Notamacropus eugenii: one gene and its partner. The protein of the gene in region 2 interacts with the protein of the main gene of each other region in a pairwise test. Links are inferred from orthologs where the notes say so. Each region holds a gene or a part of one and is shown on either strand. Other genes may lie near its edges.

Region 1 (8,044 bases), on a different chromosome or scaffold from region 2:
TTGCATTGGTTTTGTTTGTGCTGTTTCCTGAATTATTACAATAGTCCACTAGTTTTGTCCTCCTAGTTCCCATCTCCTCCTTCTTTAATCCTATGCCAAACCAAGGCAGAGATTACCATCCTAAAGCCAGATCTGACTATATTATTCTCCAGTATAAAAATTTTCAATGGCTACTTATACCCTCTAGCAGAAAATAAAATTCATCAGTCTAGTATTTAAAGCCCTCCACAACCTTCCCAAATATGTACTTTTACTCCTCCTCATGTGCTCAACATTCTGGCCCTGATCTACTAGCTAATCCCTGAACTCAATATTCCATCTCCAGTCTCTACCTTGGAACAGACTCTTCCTCATGCCTGGAATTAACTCCCTTGTCTGTACCTCTTAAAATCCCTTGTTTCTTTGTAAGGTTCCACTCAGGTGCTACCTTCTGTGAGCAGTCTTCCCTGTTCACCTGAGTTGTTAGTACTTGATCTATCTTACCATTACCTTCTATTATGCTTAACTGTGTATGCTACATGCCACTCCACCCCACCCCTAAAAATATAAGGTCTTTGAAGGCAAGGACTCATTTTGTCTTTATATTCCCATCCATTGCCAGAAATAATGCCTGGTAAGTACTTAGTACTTAAAGACATTGGGGCACTTAATAAATGCTTGTCAAGGTAAAACTGAGAGGCCTGGATGTGTGTGTGTGTGTGTGTGTGTATGTGTATGTGTATGAGAGAGAGACACAGAGAGAGAGAGACACACACAGAGAGACATAGAAGGAAGAGTGTGTGTATCTGTATGAGAGGGAGAAATGAGTATCTGTGCATGTGAGTATATGATGATATGAGTGTGGCTCTGAGTAGACCCCATGTGTGCACGAATTTGAGTGCCTGTGTGTGTGTGAGTAGAAGTATAGATGACTATAGAAGAGTGGAAGTGTGTAAAATAATTTCTGGGTATTTCTGTGTACCTGTGTGAGGTCTGAGGATGAGTGACATTCTATGTGTCAGGAAATATATATGTATGTAACTGTGTATATGACTATAAGTGACTGCATGTATGTGTGTGTGTGTGTGCGTGTAAGAGACAGACAGACAGACACAGAGAAAGAGACAGAGAGAGAGACTTGCTTTTGCTTCTACGTCCTCAGCTGTGACTAGGGCTTGAGGTCTGTGTAGGTGGGAGGGTGTCTCAGCACAAATACTTAATATTGAGGCTGACAGATGTAATGTCACTCTGATGACAGTAGCTAGGCTGCAGCATCAGGGCCTCTCTCTCCCCAAAGGACCCTGGTGTCCCTGGCTTCCCCTACCTTCTCTTTTAGAGCCCTTTATCTCCCAAGCCTCCCCTTCCCAGTGCTCCTAGGGGTCTCCCCATGATCAGCTATCCTGAGACCCCAGCACCTTCCCTGTCTCCCCAGACTCACTGGTATCATCTGAGTCATAGCTGTCCACTTCAGCCCCCTCCTCAGAGGCCCCAGCCCCTCGAATACCAGCCCCTGGGGACAGAGTCAGGGGCATTAGGCTGGGTGTAGCTGCAGCCCCAGTCCCTGGGGAGAGCTGGGCTTGGGGGCCTGCTCCACTCCCTCCACCCTCAGGTCCTAGCCGAGGAAAGTAGTCAGAGATCTGCCGGATGGGTCGAATGGGGCCAGGGCACACATTGATGGCCATGTGCTCCTGGATGTTGATGGTCATTCGGTCACCCCTCCGGCCCCTCATTCACACGTCCCCCACTGGAAAAGGAGGAAAAGGAAAATTAGCTATGGATTCCTCTCCTTTAAAAACCTAAATGACCTTTCCTCTTCACCCTTCTCCTCTAGGCTCCTCCCCCAGCCTTCTGGGCATCATCCTCCTGGAGGATAGTAAGGGTCCTGCCTTGATGGGTCTGGCCTCCAAAGAATGGGAAATGAGACCAGATCCCCCAGAAGAGCCTCTGGAATCTCAGGGCCTATTAGGATGTGGGGGGAGAACAGGGGGAGGTCATCTCTCTTGGGAGGTGCTTGGGGCAAGAGCAGAGAAGAAAGTAACAGAGCCAGATCATTCCTATAAGGGACCATACAGGGCCCTAAGTGGGATCCCCGTGAGGGCTTAGGTGGACTGGGACCTACATCCTCATAAACAGCCAGACCCACAGGGCTTCTCCCCTGTGGAAGTGAGTTAATTGCCTGTGTCTGCCAGGCCTTCATTACTTAAATTCTTGGGCCTGAAATGGAATGGTTAGGGGAGGGATGACAGACAGCATATGGGCAAATAGGGAGGGTGACTGGCTGGACCCTGGCCTCTGGCCTCAGTTTCCTTTCTAACCACAGCTCATCCCTCTCTGCCCCTCATCTGGCCCTGAGGGGCCGCAGGCCTGACTCCAATCTGGTTTCATCCCTGACTCTGTCCTCTTCCCCCCTCCAGGAAATTTCCCTGGACAGAGGTTCTGACTTTCTTGCCCTTGGTCTTGACCCTTCTCCTGAACTCCCTCTGTCCTCCTCGTCCTCCCCGAGGCTCTGTCTCCCCACCAGGCTCAGCCTGAGTTCCACTCTCCCCCCTCCCCCTCTCCTGTCTGTCTCTTGGGCTGTCTGTCCTCCCTAGACTCCATTTATCCTCTGGGCTGTCTGCTCCTCCGGGACCTCTGTGCGTCCCCATTCGGTTTGTTCATCCCTCCTTCCCCCTCAACCCCTATTCCTCAGGGCCTGCTGGGGAAGCCCCTTGCTCTCTTCTCACCTGGCGCTGGGCTTCCCGACTGCCGACTGCCGATAGATTGCAGTAAATGGGAGAGAGATAAACACAGATTCCCCAGACACACAACCTTTCCCCACCTCCTCCCCCAACATACACACCCAGCCCAGCCCAGCCCAGCCCCTTCCACCTGTCTCTGTGGTCCAACAGGTGCTTGAGAACCAGGGGGACAGCAGAAAGGGAATCTCAGAAGGTGCAGGGAGAGGTAGCAGCAGGGAACGCAGAGATAGGAGGAGATTCCAGAGGTGGAGAGAGAGGAGTCCGGCTGTGCGTGCGTGTGTGTGTGTGTGCGTGTGTGTGTGTGTGTGTGTGTGTGTGTGTGTATGAGAGAGAGAGAGAGAGAGAGAGAGAGAGAGAGAGAGAGAGATCCTGCTGGGGAGGAGGGGGTGAGGGAGGTGGAGGCAGAGATGAAGCAAGGGAGAAGGAGAGAGAGAGATGGATGAAGAGAGAAGGACAGAGGGACAGACAAAGAAGTGCAGAAGCAGGCTTGGGTGGGAGGTAAACACATGCACACTCCTGCACATAACAGAGCCCCCCAACACACACACATGCTCACACAGATTCCATTCACACATGCAGTCCTCCCTCACATGCAGTCACAGACATGTTCCCATTTACCACACCCACACACACCACACATGATCAGATACACACTCACTGACACACACGTGTCTCAAACACATGTATTCACATACACATTCCTGTCTGTACCATGCAGAGACAGGGGATTCCACATCCATACAAACACACTCATTAATTCACATGTGATCACACATGTATCTACATGATCTCTTGGAACCCCCTACTTTCACCACACACCTCTATGCTCGCAGACAGATACACTTGGGAGCATTCACACATTTGTACGAATTAATATGCACACACAAGAACACGTTCATACACACACACATAGAGTTCTGGGTTTCCAGGATTTCCAGCACCAGGGACTGAGAAGCGCCTGGTGTTTCCCAGCTCCCTCCTCACAGAACCCGGGAGTTCCCTTTCTTCCCCCTAGATTACCCTTGGTTGCCCCCATTGCTGCTCCCCTCTGCGAACACCCAGGGGCTGTGGCCCCCTCCTCAGTACCACCGCCCCTGCCATCCTTAATCCTCCCAGTGCCTCCCTCTCGGGTCCCAGGTGACTGGGCCTGAGGTATGGCTGACTGGCTCTGCCCAATTCAGGGAAGCTCTAGGTCCTGGTTGCCATGGCAATGCTTTCCTCCTTCTCTCCACCCCAGCCCTCCTTCAACCTTCTTGCTCCCAGACTCCCCCTCCTCACACCAAAGAACAGATTCTGGGATCTGCTGAGGGGGAAGGGACTCGCTTCCCCCCACCCCTGATTGATTAGTCTTTCCCCACCTTGGTCTCTCCCTCCCTCCTCACCAGTCTCCTTTTTCTCCTCACTCTGCTTTTCAGTTCTGCCCCCCGCTTCACAGCCCCCACCCTAAATCATTCCCCCCATTGAAGGGGGCCTGCCTATCTTGATCTTATCTTCCGAGATGGAAGCAACCACCCCTGTCCCAGGCCCCAGATGGTGGCTCATCTCCCCCGGTCCCCCGCCCCATTTGTCCACTAGGTTTTCCTTCCCCATCAATTCATTGAGGGTTTCTGCTTTCCCCACCAGCCTGAGGGAGGGGGATGGGGACTGGAAGATCTCAGCTAATTTTAGGCTAATGAGGCAGCTGGTATCTGGCAGCCTCCAGAGGCGGGGGCGGGGGCCAAACCGTCGGTGCAAGGCTCAGGAGGGGGTGGCAGCTCTCAGCCTCTCCGATCAATCGCTACTCTCCTTTTACTGCTTGGGGCCCCCTGAACGGGATCCAGACACTTTCCCTTCCTCACTGGGTTGTCTGGCTACAGCCAGTGCTCTGTGGCGGTCTTTGAGAGCTGGGGAAAGATCTTGATATTCCTTAGGAAATTATCAGGCCTAGGGTCTAGATGTATTGGTGAGAGAAGCCGTGGGAACAGGAGTAGTGAAAGTGGTGGAGAGGCTCTGAGAGGGGGAGAGATGGGAAGTACTGTGTCAGAGAGGAGGGCTGGTGGGTGGTTGGGGTGACAGTAACTGCCCTGCGGGCCCAATGGGAGGGAACAGTAAGTTGCATGGGAAGTGAAAGGTAGACAATTTGCAGGCCAGGACTGGGGATTATATTTAATAGGAAAGGTCTCTATGTAGGTAGCAGGGTGCGTCTGGCAGGCTGGAAATACGCCTTCTAAACCTCATGTTGGATTTATACAAGGGTTTAGGAGACACAGGCTCTAAGGCTCCGTAATAATACTTAGACTCTATATTCAGAAGGCTTGACTTGTGGCTGGGGATGGGGTGAAGAGAAAGAAAAAGGAGGAAATATCTTTTGTCCCCAGTCCTGCCATCTGACTCAGCTCTTTCCTTCCTGTTTCCTGGTCTAGCAGATGATGGATGGTGACACTTCCCATCCCTCCTCCCAGCCTGGCCACAGCTGAGTCGTCCCATTGGTTCATGCACTTAAGGTTCTATAGGCTCACTCTTCAGAGTACTTAGTGTTGTAGTTATGTCTTTAAGTTCCTAAAGACCACGCTTGTATTCTGTTCATATTTTGTTTTCTCAGTGTTTTATACAGAGTGGGCACATGGTAAATATTGAGTAAAAAGCTGTTGAATATGGATGAACGAACCTATTATCTCAGTAGTGGAAACTTAGCTCTTTATTACTCAAAAGAGGAAGGTAGGAAGTAACCCCAGGTAATGAATCAGGGAAGACATTTCCAGCATTCAAATCATATCTTAAAATAGTAAAGAGCAGTAATCAGCAGCAGCTAAGTAGTACATTGGTTATATCTCTGTACTTGGAGTCATGAAGACCTGAGTTCAAATCTAACCTCAGACACTTACTAGCAGTGTGACTCCAGGCAAATTAACCTCTTCGCCTCAGTTACCCTATCTATAAAATGAAAGCAATAGTAGCAACTACTTCTTGGTTATGACAATCAAAAGAAATACATGTAGTGTTTTGCAAAGCTCCAAGTACTATGTAAGTTCTAGCCATTATCAGCAGAAGTTTTTGGTACTGGTTAAACAACAGAACAATAGATCACTGAAACAGATTAGATAAGGAAAGATGAGGAAAAATCAAACTCAGCAACTTGGTGTTTGAAAAGCTTGAGAACATCAAATAATTGAGAAACAACTCCTTATTCAATAAGAACTGGAAAAACTGGAAAGCTGTTTGGCAGAAATTAAATTTGGACCAACATCTTATACTTTGCACCACACTAAGTTTAAGCATCTTACACTATATATCACAATAACTTCAAAATGGATATATAGCATGAATATTGAAGGTCATACCATATAAAATAAAAGAGAGTGAGATCAGGTACTTTTCATAGTTATGGCTAGGGGGACAGTTTTAACTAAAGGATAGAGGAGATCTACAATAGATAAAAACAGATCATTTGAGTTACATAAAATTTTGAAAAGAAAATCATTGCTGTTAGGGAAAAGTTTTGTATAAGATATCGTTCATAAGTATCTGATATCCAAGATGTATAAGGAACTAACACAAATATATGACTACCTTTTCCTGGTGAATATATAAGTAAGTGGCCAAAAGATATAAACAAAGTGTTCTCAAACAAACTGCAAACTATTAACAGCAATATGAAAGTGTTCTAAATACAACTTTTTAAAATTAATTTGTTTGTTTTCAGTTTTCAATAGTCACTTCCATAAGTCATAAATTTTCTCCCCCTTCCTCCCTGAGATGGCTTGCAATCTTATATAGGTTCTACTCAGATATTCTTATAAAACACATTTTCACATTAGTCATGTTGCTTAGAAAAATTAAAATGATTGGGAGAAACCATGAGAAAAACCAAAACAAAACATAACACAAGAGAAAATTGCTTCATTTTGCATTCCGATTCCATAGTTCTAAATACATCTGTGACAGAAATGGCCATTTGTCCATCAAAGGAGACTTAGATGTTGAAATTCAAAAGAGAAATCAAATATGAACCCTTGGGTATGGGGATCTTGGAGAGAGGAAAGCTGAAGGATCAGCACATCTGGAGGCCCAGAATGGAGGTGATGGAAGAATGGGGTGGACAAATGCTTTGTAGAAAGGGTTAGATCATCAAGTGCCTTGAAAAAGACCTTTTCCTCCACACTATTTATGAGCCCTGAAGGGTGAGGAGCAACACAACTGAGAAGGGCACCTATAGATTTGAATATTCAAGGATCCAACCTTTTAGAGAAGGAAAAGGAGTTCCAGGGAAGTCCTCAGACTCTTGGAGAGGGAGAGCAGAAGCCATCAGAGAATTGCTATAAGACTGAATGCCTGAATGAGTCTCTCATGAAAGTGGGACTCACTAGAATCACCCCTCTAACAACTCCACGTCTATTCCTCTTCCTAAGGGAATCCAAACCACAAGATGGCACTATGAGTCTGGGAGGTATAAGGCCTAGGAAAAGGGGAGACCTACTGGTATGAGAGAATTATTTCAGTTGTTCATAGGTTAATGTGAGTTCTTTATGCACTATATTCTATCAGGGTGAAATAAAAGCTCTCGTATGTCTGACAGGTATTTCAACTTAAGCATGTCATGGGAACTTGGGACCCTATGGGTAAAAGACAACTAGAGGAATATTCTAGATAAATTCAGGCATTTCCCAGAAATTTGTGGAGGAAAAAAGAACCGTTAAAGAATTATGGGTTGTCACAGTGTGTGAGAGTTTTTTCTGGTAGACTTAGATTTTTGTAATAACACAAGAACTTCTTACCAAAAAAAAAAAAAAATCCCAATGGAGGATCTCAAGGCAAAATGCCTGCCACACTCAGAGAGAGAAATATGGAAGTCACTCACATATTGTAGCAGATCATGTTTGTGTATGTGTATGTGTTTGTGTATCATGTTCTGATTTGTTATACGATTTCTTTCATTTATCTTAGTCTGACTACATAGCATGACTATAGTGAAAATATACTCAATAGGAAAGTATATGTAGAATCTATACAGAATTGTATGCAGTCGTGGGGAGGGAGGGGGGGAGTGGGGGGTAGGTGGGGGGGATAAAATCACAATTGTATGGCAGTGATTGTTAAACATTACAAAATAAAAAAAAATTACTTGAAATAACAAAAAAAAAAAAAAGAATTATGGGTTGTTAGGGGAGATGTCCCCAAGATTAAACTTCTTACTCTTTGTGATTTGTATGTTTAAACATATCTGCAAGAGATTAGTGCACTGAGATCTGCATTGTATATACAAACAGCTCTCACTTTACATGGAGCCAGTCATAGACACAGACAGAAGAGGATGGGCAACACCCAGACTGGAGGTCAGACACAGGGTC
Region 2 (7,205 bases):
TCAGAGTTAACCCAAGCTCAGGTGAAAGGCTAAGTGAAGTGACTTTTGCAAGAGTACAGCGTTAGAATGGGATTCAGGCCTTCTATTTCTCTGTCCTGGCCACCACCCTTTGGTGTTGTCTCATTGCTTCCCTGGCCTCTGAAACTCCCAGAACCCTACAGCAGGACTTGGTACAACTGAGAATATTTATAACCTCAAAAGGGGAAGAAAAGGAGGGAAGGGCTCCCAGTCCCTGCTTCTCTTAATAAGAAACCTATCCAAGCAATCAAAGTTCAAGTACACAACCTTCCTTTTTGTTAACAACAGTTTGGAAATTAACATGTGCGGTAAGTTGCCATCACCACTTAATCATTCTATTAAGTGGTTTTGCTTCTCTCTCTCTATTTTTTTTAATAAAATGGTACTGGGGTGAAGAAGTCTTTTTTGCTGAAAAGTAGCTGATATATCAAATAAAATATTAACTTTTATTAAAAAGGAACCTATTATAGTTGAGACTGTGAGCTCTGAAGTCATACACTACTGCCCTAGGAACTCCAACTGCACTCTTTATAGTGGTTACTTATCATGTGTTAGACTTATCCTTTCGGGGGATATTTTGTTGCTCATCCCTTGAGGTTGCCTTATATTTTATATCTCCATCTCCCAGAGACTCCAAACCTGTCTCCCTGCCTTGAACTTTTTCATTATAGTCCTCCCTCTTCAGACTACTTCTCTCTTTCTCCTCCTAAATGCTGTCTTAAGGATTAAGAAAGAATTTAATGCTTCGGTTGTCCTCTCTTCCTAGGTAGAAAAGCAGTCGTTGATCTCTCCTCACCATTACTTCACCCCTATAGCTCATCAAGTTAGGTAGAGGCTCACAGGAGTCACAGAGCCATCCCCCACTACTTGGGGAGTTTGACTACTTCCCCTACACACATTCTATTATCCCCACATCTGGGGTAGAGGGAGGTGAATAAAGCTGACCATAACATTAAGGTGATAAAACTCCAAATTAGACATTAGGTTCAGTAACATTTCTCTCCCATTTATATTTCTGCTACAACATGATGTCACGCCTGTCCTCAGCACTGGCCAGCACTTGCATTTTTGGAAGCCAAGATGTCAGAATTGTGCCTAGGTTTATGACGCTGTGTGGCAGGACTGTATTTCTCAATTTCCCCTGAGTCCCTGTTTCATCCAATACCAGTAGATACCATCCATCATACCCACTGCACACACAGATCCATCTCTCATGCCTTCATTGAGAAAGGAAAGTAAAATCCATCAATATGCCCACTATTTGTTCCTATAACCCAGAGTACTTCAATCCCAGACTGAGTCTGAAAGTTGCCCAAGTTAAACAAGAGGGAAATGGGAAAAAATGGGCCTGTCCTCTGAAGGCCACCCCCCTTCCCCCCCATTCCACCTCCAGCTCCTTTCAAATTCCCTGGATGATCTGAACAACCAAACTTTGCAAAGTGTAAGCAAGATGAGTCCAGAGGTGGGGAAAGGGAGACAATTATCTCACGGGAATGTCTCTGAAAAGGAAGGAAAGTGTGCTTATCAGCAACCTGGCTTTCCAGATAAAGTTTTCCCTAATCTCTCTTTTCTGCTGATGTCATTACAGAGCTAAGGTGCTGGGCAGTCTGGCTAAAATATAGCCAGGATAAAATGGCAGCAGACTCAATAAAACAGCGATGGTGTTTCTGACTTTTCTCCCTTGCAGGCCACCTCTACTTTGTGCCCACACAGACTTGACAAGGGCTTTCTCAGGCAGCTCTCCCCTGATCCTCCTTCTGGTCAGCCAGATCTTTCTGCCATCGAGATTCACCAATTTGTCCTTACTCCCACCACAGGCGTGGGTGAATGGATAAAAAGATAATGATGGAGAAGGGAAGCTTTCCACCCAGAAAGTCCCCTCCGATTTCACCCACCACCTCTGGAGGAGGAGGGAAATAGCATCCCTCAGGTCCCCAGGTGGAAAATCGTCTTATCCTAGCTACTCTATCAATGAATATGCAGCAACACCCACACTCCCGCTCCTCCTACTCCAAAGGGAAACCAACATCCGGAGTTGAGAAACCACTGCAGTGGGAGTGGGGTGGAGTGGGGGGGTGACGGCAGTGTCTCTATGCTCCGCAGTCCCCTCATCTCTCCCTAGCAGCCCCAGGATGGGGCGAGGGATCCAGTGGGATTTCATTCCCCGATCCTGTTAGCTCCTCCAGGCAGCCTGTGGCACTGGCTCTGCCACAGAGACCTCAGGGATGACCTAGGTCCCACCTGCTTACTGCCGCCTGCCGGGATGCGGACAAAAAAACCCTCGACCCCGAGAGAACCAAAGGGCACCGACACACAAACGCGAGCGCGCTCACACACTGGCGCACACGCGCGCCCCCCTCGCCCCGGGGGTCCCGGGGAAAGGGAATTAGGTCCTCCCCCATCCCATCTCCAGCACATCCTTTTCCACCCTGTCTCGCCAGCAGCGCAGCAGGTAATGGATCTGGGCGAGGGCCGGCGTCGGAGAAGTCGGAGCCAGAGGAGGCGGCGGCCGAGGAGAAAGGCAGAGGAGAGGGCAGGGGAGGATGCCGGGAGAGAAGGAAGGATGCAGGGCAGGGCAGGAGGGATGCAAATGCCTTTCACTCACGCTCGGGCTTTGGGGAATCCCATGGAGAGGAGGACCTCGAGGGCCGACCCATGCTTGATGGTGCCGGCGCGATGCTGCTGCCGGTTCCTCCGGGGGATGACTTTGCTGTAGAGCTCCTCTCGCGCAGCCATGCCGGGCGGGCTGGGGCTGCCGCCGCCGCCGAGCCGAGCCGAGCCGAGCCGAGCCGAGCCGGGAGCCACAGCGGGCTCAGCACGCAGCCATGGCCGGGAGGAGACGCCGCCGGAGCTGCGGCGCGGGCGGGCGGGCGGAGGGAAGGAGGCGGCTCGCCGGCGAGGGTCGGCCCGGCGGTTCAGACCGACTGACTCCGACGGCTTCCTGGTGGAGGCGGCCCGCGGAGGAGCGGCGGCTCGGTGCCCGATAAGACGCGACTGCAGGCGCCGGTGCCCGTGCGCCTCCAAGCCCCGCAGGCGCCCGCTGCCAGCAGCGCGGCCGTCCTCCGCCCCCTGCCTCCGCTCCTAGCAGTCCGGGAATTTGCAATGAGTAATTTTTGAATGGATCAAAAAGGGAAAAGGAGCTCGGGTGGGCCGGCCTTGCCTGCCCCGTGTCAGCGGCCCCGCCCCTCTCTTAAAGCGGCAGCTCCCGCGGCTTGTGGCTCGCGTCCCTTCAACACTAGAGAGGGGATCCGACCCGCAGGGGTCGCGTTGGGCATTTGCCCCGTGGCCTTCATTTGCTTTCAGATATGGTCGCAGTCCTGACCCCTGACACCCGACACGTTTCTCCCTGACACACGTGTCCACAATTAATGAATGCTTGATGAGGCCATTAACGTGAACTGCTGATTGTGAGGATTCAGAACCCCGGGCAGTGAGACCCAGAGAAAGAGGTCTGCGTTAGAAAGAACCTCCGTAAATGTCGAGTGCAGCTGCGGCCATTAGAAACAAAGTTGCCACTTGTCCTTTCTGCTCAGGATGGAGTAACAAACGACTTCTCCTTTCTTTGGCAACAACAATCATGTTGATACAATAGCAGGCCTTTAAGGTTTGCAAATTGCTTTATGTATATTATCTCATCTGATACTCAGAAGAACCCTGAGAAGTAAGAGCTCTTATCACCATTTTACTTATGAGGAGCCTGAGGGGTCCAGAGGTCAAGTGACTTGCCCAGGGTCACACAATTAGTAATCACCACCATCATCATCATCACTTATATATAGCGCCTACTCTATGCCAGACACTATGCTAAGCACTGTATAACTTACTTCATTTGATCCTCACAATATCCGTGGGAGGTAGGAGCTCTCCAATTTTACAGATGAGAAAACAGACAGACAGAAATCAAGTGACTTTCTCAGAATTACACATCTGGTTAGTGTGGAAGGCAGGATTTGAACACACATTTATCCAGTGCTTTAAAGTTTGCAAAACACCTTTCCTCTTAACAGCCCTGTGAGATAGGTAGTGAAAATATTATAATTCCCATTTTACAGATTAGGAGACTGAAGCTTTTTAAGGGGTTAAGTTCCTTCTTCATGATCACTCAGCTAGCAAATGCCAAGGCGGGATTCAAATTCAGGTCTCCCAACTTCAGGTCTCCCAATCTTTTCACTAGATGCTATCCTCTCCTACTACTCTTCCTAAAGTGGACTACTGCCTGCACTTGTTGATTTGTAGACAGGCAGATCTTGGCTCGAAATGAAGATAAACTTTCTAATAACCAGACTTGTTCATCAGTGGATAGAGCTGCCTCTTGAAATAGTGAGCTCCCAGTCACTTTAAAAATTAAAGCAGAGATTAGATGAGCTTTTTGGGGCAGGCTATCGAGAGGATTTCTGAAGTGAACAAAAAGCAGGTTGGGGTGGTCTTTTCTAAATGATGTTTTGATTACTTTTGTAGGGCAAATAGCCCCAGCATGCAAGTCAGGTTGTTGGCATAGCTTTGCCACTCTCTAACTTTGTACTCTTGGGCAACCCATTTCCCTTCTCATGGCCTCAGTTTCCTTTTTCTATAAAATGAGGGTATTGGATTGGTTGATCTCTAAGGCCTCATCTTATTCTAACATTCTTGGATTCCATAATTATATTTTCAGCACACTAGAAAGTCTTCTATTCTACCCTGAAAAACCTCCTCCACTCCCTCTTGTTGAATGAAACTTAAAATTTCTTTACCAGGGAACAAAGCTTTTCTTTTCACGATGAAAGAAGGGACTGAAAATGCAAGAAATTTTAAGAGTTGACTTAAATGCACACAAAGATATGTAAGACATATCAGATTCTTTCTGGAAAAAAGGAGAGAAGGAATCTGAGCTTCAGAGAGAAGGGAAGAGAGCAGAACACCACAGGAAATATCTCCCAAAGAGGAGAGACTATAGGCTGTTTCACAAACTAGCTATTTCACACTTTTGCCTAAGGGCAGAAAGATTTTTAGTTTAATATAGCTATTTAAACTCTGATTTTTTGGGTTTTGTCCCCAGAGATACTTTCCTCAGAATGCCTGGAGGTGACAATCGGCTATCAATGGTTGTGGCAAAGGAATGCCAGTTCTGGTGGGTTCTTTCCATCTGGAAAGGAGTGGAGTCTGCACTCCATGATAGATTGTCTGTCATTTGTCTGAGAACCAGCCAAAGTGAATTCAGAAGGGTTTATCACCTGGTGGTGTCAGGGTGATGAATTTTTCAGGCTTAGAAACTTCTTCAAGACCATCAACCAAATCACTAGAGGGGTTGCAATCTATGTAGGAAGAAAGAGCCTCCACTTGGATGAAGTCACCAATCCTTGAAGTGAATTCCAGGGAAAACTACATGGCTTGATTTTCTTAGTAGGGAATTGATTTTTCTAAATGGTATTTGAATGTGATGAGGATGAGTGAGTACAAAGCAAGTCTGAAAATCAATAAAAGAGATTCATCCTTGAGTCCAGTCACTGGGTAGGATATAAGGGACTCTTCCAAATAGTGTCTGGCAATTGGGAGGAATTGCCAAGTGATCTCTGACAAAGCTGAGACAAAGGCAGGCCTGGGGGCCCTAGAAAATCTGCCTAAGGTCTTAGGACCCTGTTAATGTTGGTTTGAGGAGGTCATCCATTCTTCCACAAAAAAGAGGCAATGGATCATAATGGATAGTTAGGCCTCAAAGCCCGGAAGACCTGGGTTCAAGTCCAGCCTCAGACACATCCTGGTGGTGTAAACCTGGGCAAGTCACTTAATGTCTTAGAGCTTTAGGCAACTTTGAAATTAAAAATTGCAGGGAAGTTGTTGATCTGCGTTGATAGATGAAAATTCCTGATCTAGGAATTCCATGTACCAATAAAACCAGATGTCCAGGCTCTATCCCATGTGACCCTACCCATTATAGATTCATAGACTCTCACATTTTGAAAGGACCTCCAAAACTTTGAGGGCTCACCCAGCCTCTACCAGAAATCTATTATTTGTCAAGGCAACCCCACTTCACTTTTGGATAGTTCTCATTAATAGACGGTTTATCTCTACAGGTATTCTAAATTCTTCTCCATATAACTTCTACCTATTTGCCCTACTTCTGTCCTTTGAGAACCAACAGAACAAAACCGCTTGGCCTCTCTTGGTCCTAGTTTCCCCCTCTTCTATGAAAAGATGATAAACAGTCTTTGCACCTTTTGGGAACAAAGGAGAATACATATCTTGAAGCAGCTAGGTGATGCAGTGGATAGAGCACCAGATCTAGAGTGAAGAAAACCTAAGTTTAAATCCAGCCTCAGCCTCCAACTAGCAGTGTGACCATGGGCAAGTCACTTAACTTCTGTCTGCCTCAGTTAGGTCAACTGTAAAATGTGGATCATAACAGAATTCATAGGGTTATTGTGAGATAAACAGAGATAATAATTGTAAAGCATTTAATGCCATTCTAGGCACATAGTAAGTAAGCACTATGTAAATGATAGCTAATATTATATTACTTTCTAATGCAAATCTGAATCTGATTGATCTTCAGACCTAGAAGGAACCTTAAAAGTCACCTAGTCTAGCTGCCTCATTTTATAGATTGGAAAACTGGGATCGAGAGAGAGGAAATGAATTGTTTCATAGTTTAAAAAAAAGTCACAAGACTTGGAGATAGGAGAGACCAGGGTTGGAATCTTACCCTTGACATTTACCAGTCAAGTGACCATGGGCAAATAACTTAATTTCTCTGAACCTCAGTGTCCTTGTCTCACAGATGGTGATAATGTTCCAAATGCCTTTAGGTTCACATGGTTGTTATGAGGACTGAGAGGTTGTCTGTTTAATGTGCATATATAGATCTACACATACATACACATATGTCTACATGTATACATACACACATGCATGTATATACATGTATGTGCTTGAATGCATATTTGTATCTGTCATGCATGTTTGTATATGTATATACATATGCATGTCTATATATGCACATATACCCATATATTCATATATAATAATAGATAGCATTTAATAGCACTCTACAAATATTATTTCATTTATCATCATAACAATCTGAGGAGGTAGATTTATCCTGGCTCCTGGGATTGTGCTCTTTTCAATGCCTCACAAATGGAAATTGCTCTTTTCAGGGATGCTCTAAAGAACTCCCAGTCTGGCTCCCTCACCCACCCCACCACCCA

The links. The genes of interacting proteins can lie anywhere in the genome.
Region 1: the proteins of UBASH3B (region 2) and DOC2A interact in binary tests that used the Homo sapiens proteins (3 or more experiments, as listed by UniProt). The link is inferred for Notamacropus eugenii from reciprocal best matches to the Homo sapiens genes UBASH3B and DOC2A.

Annotation. Positions count from the first base shown.
Region 1 is NC_092872.1:46,862,925-46,870,968, reverse strand, and holds the start of DOC2A (double C2-like domain-containing protein alpha), read right to left. Parts: upstream 3,007-8,044; 5' UTR 2,848-3,006; intron 1,724-2,847; 5' UTR 1,710-1,723; coding exon 1,418-1,709; intron 1-1,417. UniProt on the Homo sapiens protein: Calcium sensor which most probably regulates fusion of vesicles with membranes. Binds calcium and phospholipids. May be involved in calcium dependent neurotransmitter release through the interaction with UNC13A.
Region 2 is NC_092876.1:274,979,769-274,986,973, forward strand, and holds the start of UBASH3B (ubiquitin-associated and SH3 domain-containing protein B), read right to left. Parts: upstream 3,098-7,205; 5' UTR 2,755-3,097; coding exon 2,624-2,754; intron 1-2,623. UniProt on the Homo sapiens protein: Interferes with CBL-mediated down-regulation and degradation of receptor-type tyrosine kinases. Promotes accumulation of activated target receptors, such as T-cell receptors and EGFR, on the cell surface.